Elephas maximus indicus: one gene and its partners. The protein of the gene in region 3 purifies or fractionates together with the protein of the main gene of each other region. This does not show direct contact. Links are inferred from orthologs where the notes say so. Each region holds a gene or a part of one and is shown on either strand. Other genes may lie near its edges.

The links.
Region 1: the proteins of CD84 (region 3) and SH2D1B purify together in Homo sapiens (affinity purification with western blotting; 3 studies listed by BioGRID and IntAct, with this or other methods). This does not show direct contact. The link is inferred for Elephas maximus indicus from reciprocal best matches to the Homo sapiens genes CD84 and SH2D1B.
Region 2: the proteins of CD84 (region 3) and SH2D1A purify together in Homo sapiens (affinity purification with western blotting; 4 studies listed by BioGRID and IntAct, with this or other methods). This does not show direct contact. The link is inferred for Elephas maximus indicus from reciprocal best matches to the Homo sapiens genes CD84 and SH2D1A.

The regions. Positions count from the first base shown.
Region 1 is NC_064821.1:201,677,342-201,685,024, forward strand, and holds the start of SH2D1B (SH2 domain-containing protein 1B), read right to left. Parts: upstream 3,018-7,683; 5' UTR 2,946-3,017; coding exon 2,812-2,945; intron 1-2,811. UniProt on the Homo sapiens protein: Cytoplasmic adapter regulating receptors of the signaling lymphocytic activation molecule (SLAM) family such as CD84, SLAMF1, LY9 and CD244. In SLAM signaling seems to cooperate with SH2D1A/SAP.
Region 2 is NC_064846.1:32,313,380-32,320,399, forward strand, and holds the start of SH2D1A (SH2 domain-containing protein 1A), read right to left. Parts: upstream 3,060-7,020; 5' UTR 2,872-3,059; coding exon 2,735-2,871; intron 1-2,734.
Region 3 is NC_064821.1:199,305,180-199,312,168, forward strand, and holds the start of CD84 (SLAM family member 5), read right to left. Parts: upstream 3,063-6,989; 5' UTR 3,024-3,062; coding exon 2,978-3,023; intron 1-2,977. UniProt on the Homo sapiens protein: Self-ligand receptor of the signaling lymphocytic activation molecule (SLAM) family.

The DNA of each region.
Region 1 (7,683 bases), about 2.4 Mb from region 3:
TCAAAGTGTGCAAGACTGTTTCCCAACACTCTAATTCCTCTAGGCATTTTCACAGTTTGAATTCTTGTCCATTGAATAGGAAAAAATGGCATCTTACTATTCTTAGGGGCCTGGTGGTGCAGTGGTTAAGAACTCAGGTGCTAACCAAAACATCAGCAGTTCAAATTCACCAGCTACTCCTTGGAAACCCTGTGGGGCAGTTCTACTCTGTCCTATAGGTACTCTATGAGTCGGAATCGACTCTACGGCAATGGGTTTGGATTTTTTTTTTTTTTTGGTGTTGTTTTAACTTGTATTTCTTTAATTATGAGTGAGCTGTAGCATTTTTCCATATCTTTCTTTTCTGAGAATCTCCTGCTCGTATGCTTTCTATTTTTCTATTGATTTTTTTAAAGTTCTTTATATGTTAATAAAAATTATTATTTTTTTTGTCAATAGTCTTTTAAGTTTTTTTTTTTTTTACTATGGTCACGTTTGTCATTCTTTTATGGTTTCTGCATCTCATTTTTTTGCTTAGAAAGGCTTTCTCAATTCCAGGACTTTTTTTTTTTTAATAATTTGTGTTTTAATATTTGTGATTTCATTTTTTAAAAAATAAGTTAAGTATTAGAACCATTTTGAATTAATTTCATTTTAAGGGATCTAGGTTTACTTTTTTCTAAGTGACTAGTCAAGTGCCCATTAGTCATCATTCATCTTTTCCTCTTTGATTCGAAACACTCTTTTTAGCAAATGCTAAATTCCATGTGTACTTGACCTTGTTTCTGGATTCTATATTCTATTTTATTGATCTGTCAGTACCAAACTCTTTCAATTTCTGTAGTAATTACTATAGTTTTATAATGTATTAATATTTTAATATTTGGTAGAGCTAGTCTTTCTTTTTTAAATTAAAGAATCTTTGGCTATTCCAGCAGGTTCCATGTTCTACCCCTAACCTAGGTCAACTTCACTGTCCTTGCAGCAAATTTTTAAAAAAATCTGTCTTTTCTCCTGGAAACATATGGAATATTTTAGATTAATTTAAGGTGAACAGACAAGCTTCCAAACTTGAGACCTTCCATTCATTCAAGATTTTTTGTAAGCTTCCCAGTAGATATTTAAGTCAGTCTTACACATGTCATAGTACATTTATTCCTGCATGTTACTATTTTTGCTAATGTAAATAGGATGTTTAATCTGAATTTTATCTAATACATTTTAAGCAAATTTGAGTGAGTCATATCATTTGTAACTATTGACCTATTCATGTCAATATGTTTAATTTAATCAATTAAGTTAATAATTAATCAATAACTCAAATTAATTAAATGCATGACTTGACCTGACCCACTGCTGTGGAGTTGATTCTGACTCATAATGACACTATAGGCCATAGCAGAACTGCCTCGTAGAATTTCCAAGGCTGTATATCTTTATAGAACCATACTGCCACATATTTCTCCTGTGGAGCAGCTGGTGAGTTCAAACCACTGAACTTTCAGTTAGGAGCCAAGTGTTTTAACCACTGTGCCACTGTGGCACCTTAATTAGATGCATCATTTTCCTAATATGGAATCAATTCATCTTTGATGGATTGGACCACACTTGGTCATAGTGTGTTTTCTCCTTTAATGGGCTACTGGATTCTATCTGTTAATACACCCTCTCCTTTCTTATCGACATGGTTAGGTTCCAAAGACCAGGTCATTATGTGAAATCAGTGTTACACGAAAAAGGAGGATGTCCACATCCGATGGCAAAATCGAGAATGATTACATCACAACATAACTGCCAGATTACGTCATTATATAACTGCCAACCCACTGAGTATCATGGCCCAGTCAAGCGGACACATAACCTTAACCATAAAAGCCAGCATTACTCTTGCCTCACACTCCAGCATTATTACTACCCAACATACGTTGTTAATGGGTAAAATAGTAGGATAGTCGATTTTTTCCTGTTGTCATAAATGCAAAATGTCAGATAACAAGATAGTCGATAAGTGAGGAGAAATCCAAAAACTCCTTGTTGTCAAGACAGTAATGACAATCACTTTTTTCTGAGTAGCTCCCATAGAGACACCTGGGTTTTAATTCCTTTAATAGAAGAAAAGTGTCAGTGGACTCTACAAAGAGAAGAGCACACAAAGATAGGAGGTGTCTACTGATAACTGTTTGGGATTGCTTTTTTAAACTGAGCATAAACAAGTTCCCTCAGCAAGGTAGCTCTGATACCCTGGGCTGGAATTCCTTACTCAATTCAAACTTTTTGGAAACACCAGATGAGTTTTAACACAAGCAAGTCATTTGAGACATTCAGGTCTCTGTTTCCTTACATACAAAATGGTGGCCGCTTATGTACACAAGAAGTGTACAAGGAAATGACACTTGTTGAAGTCCTTTACTAATCTGAATAAAAATTGTGAAATATTATTATAATTTAAGTATTCCAAGTAGAGGCAGCAGAATACATGTAAAAACTTGGTCTCTCAGATTGAAATCTCAAAAGGGTGCCCAACCTATTCCATACCAAATAAACAGACTTCTAGAGAAGAGAATCTTTCTCACTTTTCTACCTTCTCCCCACTCCCCCTCACCTCCCATGCTTCCTGCAGCCCTCTCCTTCACCCAGAGGCTCTGCTTAGGTGGCATTTACATCAGGGAGAGAGAGGGCAGATGGAAGAGCAGGGACAGACGCCTTCTTTCCAACCTCTCCCAGTCCTCACTCGACTCATTTGGGTTGCAAAGTCAGAGTGAAATGCAATTCCTTTTATATTTGGTTGCCATCACTACATTTGATGTAGTATTTGACTGTAAGGTTACTCACGAGACACAGAGGCACAGCGCTCCTGGCACCGACTCGCTGTCCCTCAACAGAAAGTTGCCATCTACTCCTTCCCTGAGCAGCAAGATCTCACAGTCTCTCTTGGTCAAGGGGCCGTGGTAGTAAGGTAGATCCATGGAGAGCCCCGTCGTATCACAGGCCACCTTGTCGGCCTGAAATCCAGCCCCAATTCGAGGGCCAGCTCTAAGGAGGGAAGTGGAGGCAGCTGGCCTGACGTAACTATGGAAACACTTCTTCCTTTTCTGGCCAGTGGGAGTGAGATGAAGTTTCTCTGTGAGACTCAGCCAGCTTCAGGAAGTGAGAGGGGCGGGGGTGATGAAGTGACCAAGCCATTTCAGTATATAAAAGGCTTGAGTGTAAGTTTCTTTGACTCATAGAATCGGATGGGAACACTTTCTAGCACATAGTGGAAACAGTGATGTTCAATGGCTGGGGCTGCAATGCTGAAGTTAAGCTTCCCAGAACTGGGCTGCAGCCTTGTGTATCACCCTATATTGCTAGGCTTTGCCTCCTCTGGCTGCTAGGATCCTCTCCTGAGAGAGCACCACCGCTTTTGCTATAACAGCTGCCCATTTTCTGCTGAAGCTACCTATGATTAGCCATGCTTAGCCCAGAATGGGTGCTCAAAAAGTATTTGGATGCTGTTATGAGGGTGGGGAGGAAGGAGAGGGAGGGTGAAAGGTATTCATGAGTTAGATAGTAGATAAGAATTATTTTAGGTGAAAGGAAGGACAATACACAATACAGGGGAAGTTAGCACAACCGGACTAAACCAAAAGCTGAGAAGTTTCCTGAACACAACCAAACACTTTGAGGGACAGAGTAGCAGGGACAGGGGTCTGGGGGACCATGGTTTCAGAGGACATCTAGGTCAATTGGCATAACAAAGGTTATTAAGAAAATGTTCTGCATCCTATTTTGGTGACTGGCATCTAGAGACTTAAAAGCTAGGGAGCGGCTGCCTAAGATAGGTCAATTGGTCCTGACCCACCTGGAGCAAAGGAGAATGAAAAACACAAAAAACACAAGGAAAATATTAGCCCAAGAGACAAAAGGGGCCACATAAACCGGAGACTCCATCGGCTGAGACCAGAAGAACTAGATGGTGCCTGGCTACCACCAATGACTGCCCTGACAGGGAACACAACAGAGAGTCTCTGACAGAGCAGGAGAAAAGTGGGGTGCACAACTCAAATTCTATTAAGAAGACCAGACTTAATGGTCTGACTGAGACTAGAGGGACTCTGGAAGAAGACATGGACCCTGGACTCTCTGTTAATCCAGAACTGAAACCATTCCCAAAGCCAACTCTTCAGACAAAGAATAGACTGGACTATAAGACATAAAATAATACTCATGAAGAGAGTGCTTCTTAGCTCAAGTAGACACATGAGACTAAATGGGCAGCTCCTGTCTGGAGGTGAGATAATAAGGCCAAAGGGGACAGAAGCTGGTTGAATGGACACAGGAAACCTGGTGTGGAAAGAAGGAGTGTTCTATCATATTATAGGGAGAGCAACTAGGGTCACATAACAATGTGTGTATAAATTTTTGTATGAGAAACTAACTTCAACTGTAAACTTTCACTTAAAGCACAATAAAAGAAATTTTTTTAAAGGTATTTGAATGCTGAATGAATTCAGATTTGTCCAGACACAATGGGAAAATTGAAAGGATGACATTTCCATGGGTCAAATTACATGAAAAATAGAAGACATCAATGCGAAGAGAAATCAACTGGACACCACTGGGAAGGACAGTCCATTTCGTGACTAAGGCTCCTAGCCACCGAGGGAAAAAGGCTATTTTTAACATCCTCAGGCATTGTGCCTTTTGGGGGAGTGACTGGTACAAGTGGAAGGGATAACTGGGTACGAAAACTTACCGCAGGAATGCTTCTTCCAGGTGGAAGAAAAGAAGATATTGGGCTTGGGTTTGGAAACCCCCAGTTCCTATGGAGTTCCCATTCTGGGGGACAGCAGTGATCTGTCCCCATGAAGAAAGACCAAAAAAAAAAAAAACTATCCAGCCAGAGACACCCCGTTTAGACCAGGGCACGTAGTGCTGATGAGAAAATCCTTTTTTTTTTTTTTTTTAGGCTGCTGAGACTTTTCCATCTTGATCAGTGGATACTCTTGGGAAAGGCAGGTAGTCACATGGCTTTTGTTTTCTGAGAGTGAGAGTTAGCCCTGAGAGTAATTCCCAAAGCCTCTTTGCGCAACCAGACCACCTGATGTAGCATTAATTTCAGATAAAATAAGCCATGCAATCATACCTATAATCCAATTTTTTAATTTGATTGCATTTACTTAGCTCTCACAGTTACCATCACATGATGTCCATCTGTATAAACTACTGTTTAAGTGAATCATTTTCCCTTTATCCAGCTGCCTCACCAAATATCTGTGGGAATCACTATATATCTCAAGTACATATCTATAAACATGTGCTCATGACTCATCCTTATTTCTCCTTCTCAAGAGCTCTGTGTAGTCTTGACCCAGATACTATCAGAGGGGCTGACAACAAACGACCGCAGGGTCCATGGTGGTGGCAGCGGCAGGCAGACCGGAGAGAGGCTGCCAAGGCATGGCATCAGTAGAGATGGTGTCACCCATCCCCCACTGTGGTAACTCAGCACTACCCCCCACCTCAACTGCCAGTCAGGGTCTCTGCCTTGACCAGTGAGAGAAAGGAAGAGATTTGCAGGGAGCTGTGGGGCTGCAGGACTGGAAGGGGCAGGGCCAGGCAGCTCAGAACTTGGCCCTGCATCGGGGCGGGGTGGGACTGGGCCCCTCCACCCACTGGGAGCTGGGGAGGTTTGACATCCGCCCTCCGCACCCCAGCCGGGTGACTTTATGAGTTACCACACTGGATGACACCAATCCTAGTGAAGTCACTTTCCAGAAAGTTATTTCATCTTGCTCTTCTGCCTACTAGCTGTCCTTCCAGGAAACGTCCTTGTTGCAGATCTTTGTTCTTCCTTGGAAACCTCACTGTTCTGCTGTTGGTGTAGTGGAGTTTCACTAACCAGGGAACCTGATATCAGAGAGATAGGCTTTCAAATCCAAGTTTATCTTCTTGTTACTTGTGTGGTCTTGGGCAAGTCTTAACTTAATTCCAGAGGAATTATAGCAATTGAGGATAGAATTATTACTGTTGGAAGACAAAATTGGGTACCAAGCTTGCTGTAAGGATGCTTTTTGACATAACAAAACAAACCCACTGCCATCAAATTGATTCCAACTCATGGCAACCCCATGTGTGTCAGAGTAGAATTGTGCTCTATAGGATTTTCAACGGCTGATTTGTTTTTGGGAGTAAATCACCAGGCTTTTCTTCCCAGGCACCTGTGGGTGGACTTGAACTTCCAACTTTTCAGTTAGGAGCTGAGCGCATTAACCATTTGCATCACCCAGAAACTCCTTGGTAGGAAATAATTGGGTGCATGCTCAGGCTCTTGGTCATCCCAGGGCTTTGCTTACTTTTTTCCTATTTCAAAACCCAGTACCCTTATATGCACTCATATTAAAAGAAATGGAAAATTAAATCCATATCGAGATAACATCTCTCATCTATCCATTAATGAAAATCAGAAGTTTAACAACAGACGGGGTTGCTTATGCTATAGTGAAATAGGATCTCTCATAGATCTTTGGTTAGACTACAAAGTGATTACAACGCCAGCAAAGGGAGCTTGGAAAAGTTACATGTACATTCACATGAACAATCTCAGTTCTAGAAATCTGTCACAAAATTATACAGGCAGAAGCAGCACAAAATGACTTATGCAAAAGGTAGTATCTTTTTAAATTTTATTTATTTTGTTGTTATTGTTGAGAACATACACAGCAAAATACACACCAATTCAACAGTTTCTACATGTACAATTCAATGACACTGATTACATTCTTCCAGTTGTGCAACCATTCTCACCCTCCTTTTCTGAATTGTTCCTCCCTCATTAATGTAAATTCACGGACTCCTAAGATTCCTATTTAATCTTTCCAGTTGCTGTTATCAATTTGATCCCATATAGATAGTTCTGTCTGATTCCATATAGATAGTTCTATTGGTCTCTATTCATGTGGAGCAACAGAGAAAGGAGGACAGTCAGGATTAGGAGGAAGATATGGAATGTGTGGCTAATTGCCCCCAAGAACAACTGCCTCCTTTGCCATGAAACCAGAAGAACTGGATGGTGCTCAGCTACCATTACTGAACATTTTGATCAAGGAATTTATAGCAGAATCCTGATTAAGGTTGGGGGGGTATACAGATATAAATAAAGAAAAGACCAAGATGGATGTCAGAGGAGACTCTGAAACTTGCTCACGAACATCGAGCAGCTAAAGCAAAAGGAAGAAATGATGAAGTAAAATAACTGAACAGAAGATTTCAAAGGGTGGCTCGAGAAGACAAAGTATTATAATGCCATGTGCAAAGAGTTGGAGATAGAAAACCAAATGGGAAGAACATGCTCGGCGTTTCTCAGGCTGAAAGAACTGAAGAAAAAAATCCAAGCCTCAAGTTGCAATAGTGAAGGATTCTGTGGGGAAAATATTAAATTACAAAGGAGCATCAAAAGAAGATGGAAGGAATACACGAAGTCATTATATCAAAAAGAATTAGTTGATATTCAAGCATTTTGAGAGGTAGCATATGATCAGGAACCAATGGTACTGAAGGAAGAAGTCCAAGCTGCCTGAAGGCAATGGCAAAAAACAAGCCTTCAGGAATTGACAGAATATCAATTGAGATGTTTCAACAAACGAATGCAGCGCTGGAGGTGCTCACTCGTCTATGCCTAGAAATATGGAAGACAGCTTCCTGGCCAACTGACTGGAAGAGATC
Region 2 (7,020 bases), on a different chromosome or scaffold from region 3:
GTTTGAAAGAAGGAACCCTGATGGCGCAATGGTTAAGCACTAGGCTGCTAACGGAAAGGTTGGCAGTTTAAACCTACCCAGTGGCTCTGCGGGAAGAAGAGCTGGCAATCTGCTCCCATAAAGATTACAGCCTGGAAAACCCTACAGGGCAGTTCTACTTTGTCACATGGGATCGCTATGAGTTGGAATCAGCTCAACAGCCCCCAAACCACACAGTAGTTTGAAAGGCATACGCAATGTGCTATTTCTGCAACAAAAAGACAGAAACTAAAGCTCAACAAAACATTCTTGGATAATGGAAATTAACAAAAGATTGAATGAATAACCTTTCCAAGTGAATCCTATAGTCAATGCATGCTTGTTAACTATATCTTGTTGGACATGTGTACGGTAGCATTTACATTTTTATTTCAACTGCCTAACATAAACATAAGAGTTTTGTTTTACAATGAGTATGTGGTTTGTTTCAAATTAAAAATAGATTTCTTTGTTATTCTAGTGTAGTACCAAAAAGGGGGCATGAAATATTTATGGGGGCCATGAAATAAATATTTCTTCATCAAAAAGGACCCTGGGATATATGCTACTAAATAAATATTCCATATAGAACAAGGTAAAATTAAAAAAAAAAAAAAAGGTGGGGGAGGGACCCTGGGCTCAAAAAGGTTGAGAAACTCTGCTAAAAGGCAATGTATCATTGTATCGCAGCAGAGCCTGAAAACCCTGCTATCACTCTAAACAGTTCCATTAGACTGGGAGGCCGCTGTGTACCAATCAGAAGACACACTTGGAGACTCTCAATTTGCCTACTAACCCTATTTTCTGCTACTTAATAGGAGGTTTTCATGGAAAGCTACCAGTCATTTTAAAAAATGCATTTATGCAAGATTCACTTTGGGTGAAAGCTAAATGTTTGAAAATTTTCCACCTGCTTGAATTAATTACTTATGTGGCCCTGACCTACATGAGCAAAAGGCTAAAGTTCTGTATTTTACTTAAAAAAAAAAAAAAAAACAGCAATCTTATGCTTCCCTACCCAGGCTTCTTTTGTACCTTCTTTTTGTACCTCTAGGTTTAGGCCCATCATCTCCTTTGTCAGCTTTTCTAAAGCAGCCGCTTTCACCACCCACTCACTCTTCTGCCTCCTTTTGATAAGAAAAAAGCCGGGGAGCGCCAGATGGCTTTCATTGGCCTTCCCTAGTTTCCAGTTGGGGAAAACAATAATATAAGCCAAACATGAAGACCTGCTCAAGAGATTCAATAGCTTCCACGTATTTCCCTTGAAGTCTTTACAATAAATTGGTTTAGCGTGCCAGAGAGTGAGGGTATTCCGCTTAACTGAGAGTTGCCACAAACGTGGATTGCCCCTTTTAAAAAGCCAACATACAAATGGAAATCCTCTAACACCAGCCTCAATGTAATCTTTCTCCACTGACCCAAACGGTACTGCAAAATCTTGCAGTCTATCATTAGGTACTAAACCAAGCATTCTTCCTCATTTTGTTTCTGCCTAGGAACTACTGTGCAGGGCTGCTATTTTCATGGGTACTTTTACCCTGTTGCTGAAAGTGTTCGGGCTAGGACCTTCCCTGGAAATACCCCCCCCACACACACACAGAGTACTAAAAGAAATCAAACTGAAAATAGAAGAAGGTAGTAATAATAACACTAGCTTACGCTTATTGAACATTTACTACGTGTCAGGTCCAGTCCTAAGTTTTTTATGTGCATTATGGCATTTAATCCTCACAGTCCTGTGAAATATTACACCCATTTTATGGATGACAAATCAAAGGGACTGAGGGGTTAACTTGCCAGAGGTCACAAGACTAGCATCTGACTAGCACAGGGTTGGATCTCAGATCTGCCTGACTCTGGAGCCCTGGAGCAATAACAAAGGAAGGTGTGTCTGTTTCAAAATGGCAATTTAGCCTGAGACATGTCTAAGCCAAGGGCAAGGTTGAATCATAACAAGAGCGTTTTCCCTCTGTGCCCTTTATGACTGTTGTCAGTCTTGGCTTTTTTCAAATAAAGGGTCCCCTTTCTGAAACCTCCAACCGCCACACAATTCCTTTAAAGGAAGCTAAATAAGCAGACCCAGAGAAACAGTTTTATTCACAACCATCCCCCCTCTCAGCCATGCCAACCTAAGTAGCATTGCATTCTCAAAAGTAATGGACTCAGTTTTTGAGTCTTCTTCCTTTCCTTGAATTCCATGGTCTTCCTTTGGGATGATGCCTCCAAAATCATTTAAAGAAAGCTGGCTGAAGAGAGGCCTTTCCTTTTCTCGGGACTGGTGACCCCAAATATGGCCAATCCACCATTCCCAGGCTCCACCTTGCTGACCTCCAACTTGAAGGCAAAGCAGAGTCCGGGAGCCTGGATCTTTTTTGGAGTGACAGTAAATTCCAGGCCGTGTTTTCCTACCCAAAACGGCATTCTCTGCAGCTGCCCCCAAAAGGCCCTGGTGAGGTCCTTCTGGAGCACCAGGAGCCCAGGACGTGAAAGCCCCAGCGAGCTGTCTAGGTCAAAGTGTGGTCCACTACGGCCCCAGGCTGGGCCAGAAGGCGCCCTCGGGGCCGCTGAGCGAGCAGAGGAGGCCCCTGGAGCTTCGGCTGCTCTTTTACCCCTGCCTGCGTGCCCTGGCCACCCCCACCCATAGCCCGTGCCCTTGACAGGCCCAAGGCTGACTGCTGCAGGCCAGGTCCTGGGCCCCCCGCGGCGAAGTACTCACAGAACACACAGGCAGTACACGCCCGGGACGCTCTCACTGTCCCTCAGCAGATAGCTGCCGTCCAGACCGGTGGCGAGCAGGAGCTTTTCCCCGGTCTCTCGGCTGATTTTGCCGTGATACACAGTCACCGCCTCCATGGCCTGGTGGACTCTAGGGCAGGCCGAGGCGGAGGAAGGGAGAAGGGAGAAGCCACAGCTTCTACGGCTAGGCACTAGTCAGCCACCTGGATCCCAGTTCAGCCAGATGTGTGAAAAAGAGAGAGAAGCAGCCGAACAACAGGATGTTGTCGACGTGCCTTAAAACCTCCTTCTCACACTTCGGTTAAGACCAACTCAGCAATTTAGCAGCTTGGCTATTGCCACCAGGTTCACCTCCCTTTCCCCACACTTTAATCATATGGAGAAGGGAAGAAAGTCCTGGCAACAGGGTTTGAGCTGCACTACCAATGCAGACCTTGCACACAGACAGGAACCCTTGGCAGCGCTTCTGTTCTTCCAGTTTTCTCAGGGGCCACCAAGGATAACTCAGCTTAACTAGCCCCCAAAGGGATGCTTGATAAAGGCAAATTGAATATGGCCCTCATGTGGGGCGCTAACATACTGACAGAGAATGGAAGGACTAAAAGCTCTGAGATCAAAACACCAAAAGTATGGGTGTTATTACTGAACATGACCACGAGGCTCCTACAGAAGGAGAGGTAGTAGGTGAACAGTGGACACTGGGTAAACCCTTCATCTTCCTCCTCCTCCTCCCTCATGTAGCCATCTTGAGCAATCTTAGGCCTGACCAAATATTGATTTTTTTCCTACCATCCTGTCCGAAATCCCAAGGTACTGGCTGAGGTACAGAAATCACAGTCTGTGTCCAAAAATGTTCCAGATTTATCTATTTGATGGATCATAGATGAGAGAATGAATCAGCTAATTGGTGCTTTGCCTTTATGTGGACACGTATGTGCCCTTTGATATATAGGGCCCTTCTTCAGAACCTGGGGCATAAAACCTGTTTTAAATCTTTTTTGCAAATGGTGACAATTGCGCTGTTAATTTTGTTCTCTGTTGTTTCTAGAGAATATGTTTTTTTCTTCAAATGATGCTAAACTGTTGTTAATTTTTTTTTATTTCAACCTCATTTCCTTCTCTGAAGTAAAAATCATTGATTCTAGTTCAAAATGCACTGTTAAGCAATATTTCCCCAAAACATCCTCCATTTTCAATAAAATAAGACTTTGTTTAATGCCTAAAGCTGAATGGTCTTACACATGTACGTTTAGGTCATGTAGAATACTTTTTTAATCAGAATTTAAATAGCCTGTTGTATACCTTCCATTACTTCGATGCCTAGTTCTTTGAGAACATAGCAAGGCCGGGAGCTCAGTAGGAAGAATGATTTTTATTCCTCACGTTTTCTTACCAATGGATCAGATGCACATAGCTGCCTTATACCACAACCAGATATTTGCTCCCTACCCAAAATGCTTAAGAACAAACAATCCTCTAAGATTTAAGAGGCAACTAGTAGCCACTCTCCTTGATTGAAGAGTGCCCAGCCTTAACAGTAACTAATGTAGAGTCTGTCAACCTTAGTGTTGAACCTAAAGTGTTTATGTAAACATAAGCCTCTGCAGTCATTTTCAACACCAAGAATTAAAAAAAAAAAAAAAAAAAAAACAGCATTCAAGATAACATATGGGGATGGATCTTGGGAACTGGGCAGAAGTTGTCTCATCATCCTCCAACCTCACTTGTTTTTGCCCAACTCCACCTCTCGCCCCTTTTCAGGCTTTGGGTCAAGGAAGAGACCGATCTGGGAAGTGAATGCATACTCCAATGTTAAGGATTGGAGAAGCTAACCGCCCCCCCGCCCCCAGACTCTTTGTATTCTGAGAGGGTAAATGGTTAAACCCAGAGAAATGAATCACAATGGTGGGGTTTCAAACGTGAAAGGAGAAGATAGGGAAGGGGATCCCCTCATATCAGTCTGTATGGACAACAGCCTGCCTGTGAAGTGAACCGTAAGAACACTCAGTGTCACATAGGTAAAAGCAAAACCTAACCTTTGTTGTCTCTGAACAACCCTGAACAAATCATCCACAAACTTAGGAACAGAGCAACCTAGATCTGACAGCAAAAGCTTACCATACATCCTTCTTTTCTTTCTGTGTTTTTTTCTGTGTTGCTAAAATAGCACACCTGTCAAAGCAGCCAGGTCCAATGGGTTCCAGCACAACTAAGATCGTATGAAAAAAGAACAGAGAAATTATAAGGTAATAGTACAACTCCCATATCCAGTGCCTCATTGTCTCACAAGCAAGCTGACAGCTAAGCCAGCTGCCCACTACTGCAGTGTTGAAAAATAGACATCTTCACTGTAATGCTACACCGGTACTAAACCGGACTTTGTAGTTGTTGTTAGGTGCCATTGAGTCGCTTCCGACTCATATGGACCCTATATACAACAGAACCAAACACTTGACTTTAGCAATTCAAAGCTTCACACTGAGCTTGAAATGTAGAGAAAAGAGGCGTGGAAATGGTTCTTTTTCTCCTCTCTCTCCATACCCACAAGAAATGAGGGGAAAAAAATGAGAGAGAGGAGCCATGGACATGGTGGAGACACCAACTGAAAAAGGATTGGTTAGGATTCTGCCCATTTGGAAGCAGAATTAGTTGACTAATTGCTTGTTTTCTGTCTCTCCCACTAGAACCTAAGGTTCATGACAGCAGGACTTCGTAGGCTTTGTTCGCCACTGTATCCCCGGTACTGGAGTATGTCGTTGTTGTTGTAGGTTGCCATCGAGTCAATAATATTTGTTGAATAAATGAAATTAATGCTCTCAAGAAAATAAAAGAAAAAAATATTGAAATGCTATTTTACACACACATACACAAAAACACACACCAAACCAAGCCCATTGCCATCAAGTGGATTCGAATCGTAGAGGCCCTATAGAACAGAATAAAACTGCCCCATAGAGTTTCCAAGGCTGTAATCTTTACAGAAGCAGACTGCCACACCTTTCTCCCACAGAGCGCTGGTGGGTTTGAACTGCTGATCTTTTGGTTAGCAGCCAAGCACTTAACCACTGCGTTACCAGGGCTCCTTACAAACATACACACACACACACACACACACACACACATTTAGCTCTACGTGCCTCCTGCCCACCTTCGAAACAGCAAGATTGATTGGGATGAACACTAGTCCAGTAATTATGACAGTCCAATTATGCTCCTTGTCTTGCCACTAAATCACTTCCTCTCTCTCAGCCTCATCTTCCACATCTGTAAAATGGAGTCGAACCAGATGACCCCTAAGGTCATTTCCAGCTTTCACACCCTGTGCTTTAAAGGAAAGCCAAGCATGCTTTACAGAAAAACAGGGGAAATGTACCGAGCTCGTTTGTGTGCAAGAAGCAAGAGCTGTTTCCTCAAGTCTCACCCAATAGGGGAGCGATTTTTGTTGTTGTTTTTTTTAAATAAACTGAGAATAAAAACCATGAAGTAGAGGAAGAGAGCTTCACAGTTTCCAGCAAACTACAGCCTTTTATAATATAGATGCCACTTAAATAAAATATAAAAGCACTGAAGTTAGAAAAACTGTCAGCCAAGGTTGAAAGTATCTTCCTATTCAAGCTTGTCATCTCCTGAAGCCTATGAGAAGTGACAGGATTTTGCATGGGGATGCCCTGTCTGAGGTGCTAATTGTCTTCATTTCAAATGCCCTAGGCTATTCTCAGACCCAGGTAGATTATAGGGCTGATGCCAAGGCTGGTCAATTTTGTAGAGTGGATCTGACATTTCAAAAAGTCTTTTTCTCTAACCTTTCAAAACTAACTTTGTTCTTCAACTGGCTCTTCTATAGGTGTGAATTCTCCTGTGACAGTGTTATGATGTTGTCACCTATTGCGAATTTACACATTCTCTCGGTACTCACTAAGATTCACTTCCTTTACAAAAATTAGAAAAGAAAAAAATAAGGGATCTTAAAAAAAGAGCATCTCCTTTTGATAATATTTTAAAAATTGTAAGTGGGAAGCCAGAGATAGAGTTCTTGTGTGTGTTGATTTAAACCTGTTTTAAACGTATTTATTCTCTCAAGAGACATTTACAAGCCCTGGTGGCACAGTGGTTAAGAGCTACAGCTGCTAACCAAGAGGTGGGCAGTTTGAATCCATGAGCAGTTCCTTGGAAACCCTATGGGGCAGATCTACTCTGTCCTATACGGTGACTATGGGTCGGAATCAACTCGATGGCAACAAGTTGGGTTTGGTTTGGTTTACTGTG
Region 3 (6,989 bases):
CTACTGGATAGGTACCAATAGCTCTCCATTTTGAAGCTGAAGTTTGAATGATTTACCACTTTCCAACCTGATCACTTCGACTTCAGTTTCAGTAGATCAGAGAAGACAAAGAGGATATTTAAATGACTGAACAGGCACATGAAAAGATGTTCAATGTCATTAGTCATTAAAAAAAAAAAACCCAAACCCATTGCTGTTGAGTCAATTCCTGCTCATAACGATCCTATAGGACAGAGTAGAACTGCCCCACAGGGCTCCCGAAGAGTGCCCGGTGGATTTGAACTGCTGATCTTTTGGTTAGCAGCCATCACACATAACCACTATGCCACCAGGGTTTCCCATTAATCATTAGGAAGATGCAAACCAAAACCACAATGAGATACCACCTCACTCCCATTTGAATAAACAACAACAAAAAAAACCGAAACCCATTGTTGTCAAGTCAATTCCGACTCATAGCAACCCTATATAGGACAGAGCAGAACTGCCCCATGTGGTTTCCAAGGAGTGCCTGGTGGATTCAAACTGCCGACTTTTGGTTAGCAGCTGTAGTTCTTAAGCACTATACCACCAGGGTTTCCCCCATTAGAATCGCAATGAGGAAACAAACAACGGCGTTGAAGGGTGTTGGTGAGGTTGTGGAGAAACTGGAACTCTCATTCTTTGCTGGTGGGAAAGTAAAATGGTATAGCCACTATGAAAAACAGTTTAGTGGTTCTTCAAAAAGTTAAACATAGAACTATCATATGACCCAGCAATCCTAATCCTAGGTATACACCCAGAAGAAGCCAACGAAGCACGGCAAACAGAAACCTGTACACCAATGTTCATTACAGCACTTTTTGTAATAGGTAAAATGTGGAAGCAACTTAAATGTTCATCAACGGGTGGATAAAGGAAATGTGGTATATACATACAACGGAATATCATGCAGCCATAAAGAGAAATGAAGTTCTAATGCATGCCACAACATGGATAAACTTTGCAAACATTATACTGGGTAAAGTCAGTCAGTCACAAAAGGACAAATATTATATGATCTCACTTATAAGGACTAGGCAAATATATAGAAATTGAAGTGTATTATTAGTGGTTACCAGGAGTGGGAAGGAGGGGGAAAAAGGGAAGTTTTTGCTTAGGGGACATTGAGTTTATGTTAATGGTGGTGGAATAATTTGGAAAAGGATAGCCATTATGGTTGCACAACTGAGTTATTCATGTAGAAGTTGTTGAATTGGCGGAGTTTTGTTGTGTATATTTTCACCACACACACACACAAAAAAAAAATTATTGAACACTTAAACAAAAAGAGAATTCCAACTCATAGTGATACTATAAGACAGAGTAGAACTGCCCCATAGGGTTTCCAAGGAGCACCTGGTGGATTTGAACTGCCGACCCTTTGGTTAGCAACCAAACTCTTAACCACTACGCCACCAGGGTTTCCTAAAACCCATTGCCATCGAGTCGATTCTGACTCACAGCGAGCCTATAGGACAGAGTAGAACTTCCCCATATAGTTTCCAAGGAGCATCTGGTTGATTCAAACCGCCATCCTTTTGGTTAGCAGCCTTAGCTCTTAACCACTACGCCACCAGGGTTTCCAAGAACGTAGGCATGAAAATTGTGGACTGCTTTGCAAATTAAGTAGTATCAAATGCCACACTGTCCAGCTTGTCTCTGGATGACTGGATAGGACCTGAGAATTCCACTTAGGTTCTACCCAGCTCTTTTCCTAATTTACTTGCATTTTCTGTCTGCCAGACCAGGGCAACCACGATAGGGTTCAAAAACTTGACCAGCCTAGAGGTTGCAATCTCCACGAAGCTCAAATTAAGGGAGCTACAGCTTTCAATGGTCCAGGAAACCAGAAACCAAGGTGCATTATCCCACCTTAAGAAAATCTTTACTCTTCAAGTTCCCTGGGTTCTAAATCGTGCCAGAAATTTACTATAGCATTTTCAGAGCTGTAAGACACACTAGAAATAATGATTCGGAAATGTCAAACACAGTCAATTTTTATACAAACAGGACAATTGTTTGCAGTTAATGAGATAAATATGTGAAATAATAAAGCATCCTCAAATCTATGTTAATGCTACATAGTTCTCCTTGTAATAACAACAACCAATTTTTATTTTATCCTTTATAGTTTACCCTAAAGCCATAAGTGAGAAAAACAAGATTTTTAGCTCAAGTTCTCCACCTCATTTTTGAAACTTAATTTATTCGTAAAGTAGGGTAATAATCTCTTCCCCATTTATTTTAGAGGGTTTTGGAGGATAAAAGCAGAGTACTAGCTCTGAACATGCTTTGAAAATAAAGGGATCTTATAGAAACGAGGGCCTGGTGGTGTAGGGGTTAAGAGCTACGGCTGCCAACAAAAGGTCGGCAGTTCCAGTCCACCAACTGATCCTTGGAGCAATTCTACTGTGTCCTATAGGGTTGCTATGAGTCGGAATCGACTCCACAGCAATAAGTTTCATTGATTTTTATAGAAATGAGGTTTTTACGGTGATAATCATAAGTAATGCATTACTATAACATGATAGAACAACGAAATATAATCAGGAGAGCGTATCTTTATCAAAAACCAAATAACACATTCTAATGGGTAAAAGAAATTGTTTTTTAAAATTTTTCAAGGTTTTAGATTATCTATGTTTTTGCTGGGCTCTGTGGGTGGGTCTACTAAGCGCTGACTGTCCTGAACAACGGGTTTTATCTCAGACCTTTGGAGACTGGGCACAGATAAAATTCAGAAACGTCAACTCCAGAGCTGAAAAATATTTAGGTTGAATCTTAGTTTCTCCCCAGCCTTTTTTGAGTACAGCATATACAGATTTTTTTTATACAGAGACTCAAGGTGTTTCTGTTAAAAACACACATCAAAAGGGCACTTCAATATCTTCCTCAAGGACAATTTCTAAAACTTTGTGGAAAGACTAGGAGAGGGTCAGCAAGGGTCAGAACTTACAGGTTTGCATGCAAAGCAGCAAGATCCACAGGCGGTGCTGAGCCATTTTCTTCCAGCGTCTAATCTTCTGTGGACAAGAAAGGCAGCCTTCAAGAAGAGAGTTTGTTTCACTTGAGTTTTCTTTTTATAGTCACGTTTTAAGAAAGGAAGTATGAGTTAACTGTTTTAAGGGGCACTGGTCTTTGTATTATGATACTAGTTTTTCCTATTACATAACATAAAGAGCCTGGTGTTAGTGTATATATTTATTTCTTCAACAAATATTTATTGAGTGCCTACTATGTGCCAGGTAAAAAAAAAAAACAAAACAAAACAATTTTTGTTTTTTTTTTACTACATGCCAGTACTATTATTCTAGGCACTGGCAATATAAAGATTAACAAAGAAGCTGATCTTTCTTGGTTAGTTGCCACTTAGTTACCATAAAGAGTTCACAGAGTGGTCACAGTTACACAAAAGCCCCTTGGAAATAAACTGGCAACATTAGGTTTTGGCTAGGTTACAAGGGGAAAAAAATCACAATTTCTTAACAGGCAGAACTAATTCCACAGGTTTTCTTACACAGAATGGATGAATATTTAGGCTGTTTCTAATTTTTGTCTATTGTAAAAAGTGCTGCAATGAACATTACCCCATAGAGTTTCCAAGGAGTACCTGTTGGATTGAACTGCTGACTTTTTGGTTAGTAGCTGTAGCTCTTAACCACTATGCCACTAGGGTTTCACTTCATCTGGGTGTATACGTAGGATTAGGATTGCTGGGTCATATGATAGTTCTATGTTTAACTTTCTGAGGAACCACTAAACTGTTCTTCACAGCGGCTATACCATTTTATTTTCCCACCAGCAATGGATGAGGGCTCCATCTTCTCTATAACCTCACCAACACCTGTTGTTTTCTGTTTGTTTCATCATTGCTATTCTAATCGGGGAAACACTGGTGGTGTAGTAGTTAAGAGCTACAGCTGCTAACCAAAAGGTCGGTGGTTCAAATCCATCAGGATCTCCTTGGAAAGCACATGGGGCAGTTCTACTCTGTCCTGTATGGTCACTATGAGTCAGAATTGACTTGATGACGATGTTTTTTTTTTTTTTTTTTTTTGGTTAATTCTAATGGGGGTGAGCACTTAACTATTGTACCACCAGGGCTCCTTGCTTCTTCCGTCAAAAACCAAAAACCCATTGCTGTTGAGTCAACTTGTGACTCATGGTGACCCTATAGGAGAGAGTAGAACTGCCCCATAGGGTTTCCAAGGGTATAATATTTATGGAAGCACACTGCCATATCTTTCTCCTGCAAAGCGGCTGTTGGGTTAGCTGGTGGGTTTGAACTGCTAACCTTTTGGTTAGCAGCTGGCACTTAACCACTGCGCCACCACTGCTCCTTGCTGCTATCCTAGTTTCCTGTATTTCTCCTCTTGCAACATTTATCACACTATATTGGAATTGCCTATGTAATCTTTAGTCTCCTCAGTAAGAGTATAAGCTCCATGAAAGGAGGGTGCTGGTTCGATCTTACCAGCTGCTCAGCAGGAGAAAAGACCTGAGGATCTGCTCCTGTAAAGACTATAGCCTACAAAACCCTACGGGGCAGTTCTATTCTGACATATAGGGTTACTATATGTCAGAATCCCCTTGATGGCGCACAACAATAACAACATAAGAGTAGCAGGGGCATCTAACCCTAACTAGGGGGGTTTGGAGAAGGCTACCTGATGGAACTCACAACCAAGCTGAGACAGATTGAAGAATGAGTCTCTGCTCACTTCACTCTTTTACATCACAAAAGAGATTCACTTCATCTTGTAGATCTAGTCTTGCCTTACTAACATAACTGCCTCTAATCCTGCCTAATTAACATCATAGAGGCAGAATTTACAACACATAGGAAAATCACATCAGATAACAAAATGGTGGACAACCTCATAATACTGGGAATCGTGGCTTAGCCAAGTTGATACACATTTTTGGGGACACAATTCAATCCACAACAGCAGCCAAGCTCATTAACTGTTTGTACTACCCGACGACCCGACGACAGGAGCTTAATAAATGGTAGCAATTAATATAATGATGATCATACCTTATTAGGGACAAAATAAAGTCACGATAAAGTTCAGAGTTCAAAGGGATTTTGAGACTATATGGTCTATTTTGCAGATAGGGAAGCTGAGGCTCAGAGAGGAAGTGATTTTTCCCAAAATCACTCAGTGAATTAGGGAACTCAGGTAAATATCAGCGTGTCACTTGCTAAAGATTGGAACTCATGGGCATGAGATAGCAGGCACAGAGAGGCATGCTTAGGCTGGGTTTGAGCCCCCAACCCTGTTACAAGAATAATTGTGTGTGGCCTTGTATGTGGGGAAGTGGAGGTGGGGTTGGTGATAGGTATAAACATCTGGACTCAGAAACCAAGCAGCCTGAACTTGGACCCAGCCATTTTGGGGAGTACTGGGAAAGCCGGGGACATGGCCCCTGGTGACCTGGGAAAAATAGGATTGTGTACAGCCTTTCCCGCTTAGAGAAGGAGTCCTCCAGCCAGCTAGCTCCTTTCTAGACAACTTAAGCCTTTGGAATCATTCACTGGACAATCCTGCTGATGGTTCCCCCACATATACTTGCTCTGTGTGGAAGAGTTGAGTGCCTTTATGTAGATACAATGAAATGAGCAGATATTTCAAAGAAGGGTTGAAAATAAAAATGAAATTTCCCAAATTCATTATGATTTCATTTCACAAGGTTAAACCATATTTCCTTCGTGTTTTTTTTAGCAAACACACTGTGATCACTAGGGTTGTGTATAAACTTGGCTGGGCCATGATTCTCAGAGGTTTGGTAGTTATGATGTAGTTTGGCAGTTGTATGATGATGTGATCACTTCCATGATGAGATTTGATATAATGTGATCTCCCCTATAATGGGATCTGCTGTGAGTAGCCAATCAGTTGAAAGGGAGTATCCTTGAGTGTGTGACCTGCATGGGATATAAGTGAACATTCTGCTCACGGGCTGTTTGCTCACTCTGCATCCTGCGGCTGGCTCCTGTTCATCTGACTCCAGTTCTTGGGACTTGAGCTAGCAGATTACTTGCAGCCTTGCCCACTGATCTTGGGATTCGTTGGTCTTCACAGCCTGTGAATAGGAACCCTGCTTTCTCACTTACCAGTCTTGGGTTCCTCAACCCCTGTGGCTATGTGAATTAGGAGAAGCCTCCAGTCTGACCCATGGATTTGGGACATGCCGGTTTTTACAACTGTGTGAGCCATTTTCTTGATATAAATCTCTCTCTCTCTCTATTTGTTTACATACTTTACTGGTTTTGCTTCTCTAGAGAATCTAGCTTAAGGCATGCTTTACTGAAATATGGAATTACTACATGTACAAAAACACATACCTATGATGTGTTAGTTGTATAGAGAAGTGATATGGAGACCCTCTTAGGCTGGGTTCTCCAGAGAAGCAAAACTAGTAATGCTTATAAATATATAGAGAGACATTTAATTAAAGAAACAGCCCACACGATTGTAGGGGTTGGAACGTCCCAAGTCCTTGGATCAGGATAGAATCCTTTCCCAATTCATGGAGCTGCAGAAGATGGTGAACCCAAGATGAACAGGTTGGAGAGCAGGGATTCCGCTCTCAAGTTGTGACGGTCGAGGAATCCCAAAGGTCAGCAAGCAAGACTTCAAAGTTTCTCCTGAGTCAGCTGCAGGGGCTGGCAAACCCAAGATAGGCAGGCCGGGAGCAGGACTCTTGCTCACAGGTTGTGACGATCGGCTAATCACAAGATGGACAAGTAAGCTGCTAGCTCAAGTCCCAAGAACCAGAAGTCAGACAAGAATCAGCTGCTGGATCCAGAACAACCCAAAAACCTTTGCAAGGTGAGCAGGAAAAGGAAGTAGACTTTGGAAGGCGGAGAGATGAAGAACTTACCCCCACCGGTACTGCTCAGCACATTCCATCATGGGAGTGATCACATATCAAATTTCAACAGGAAAGTGATCACATTATAC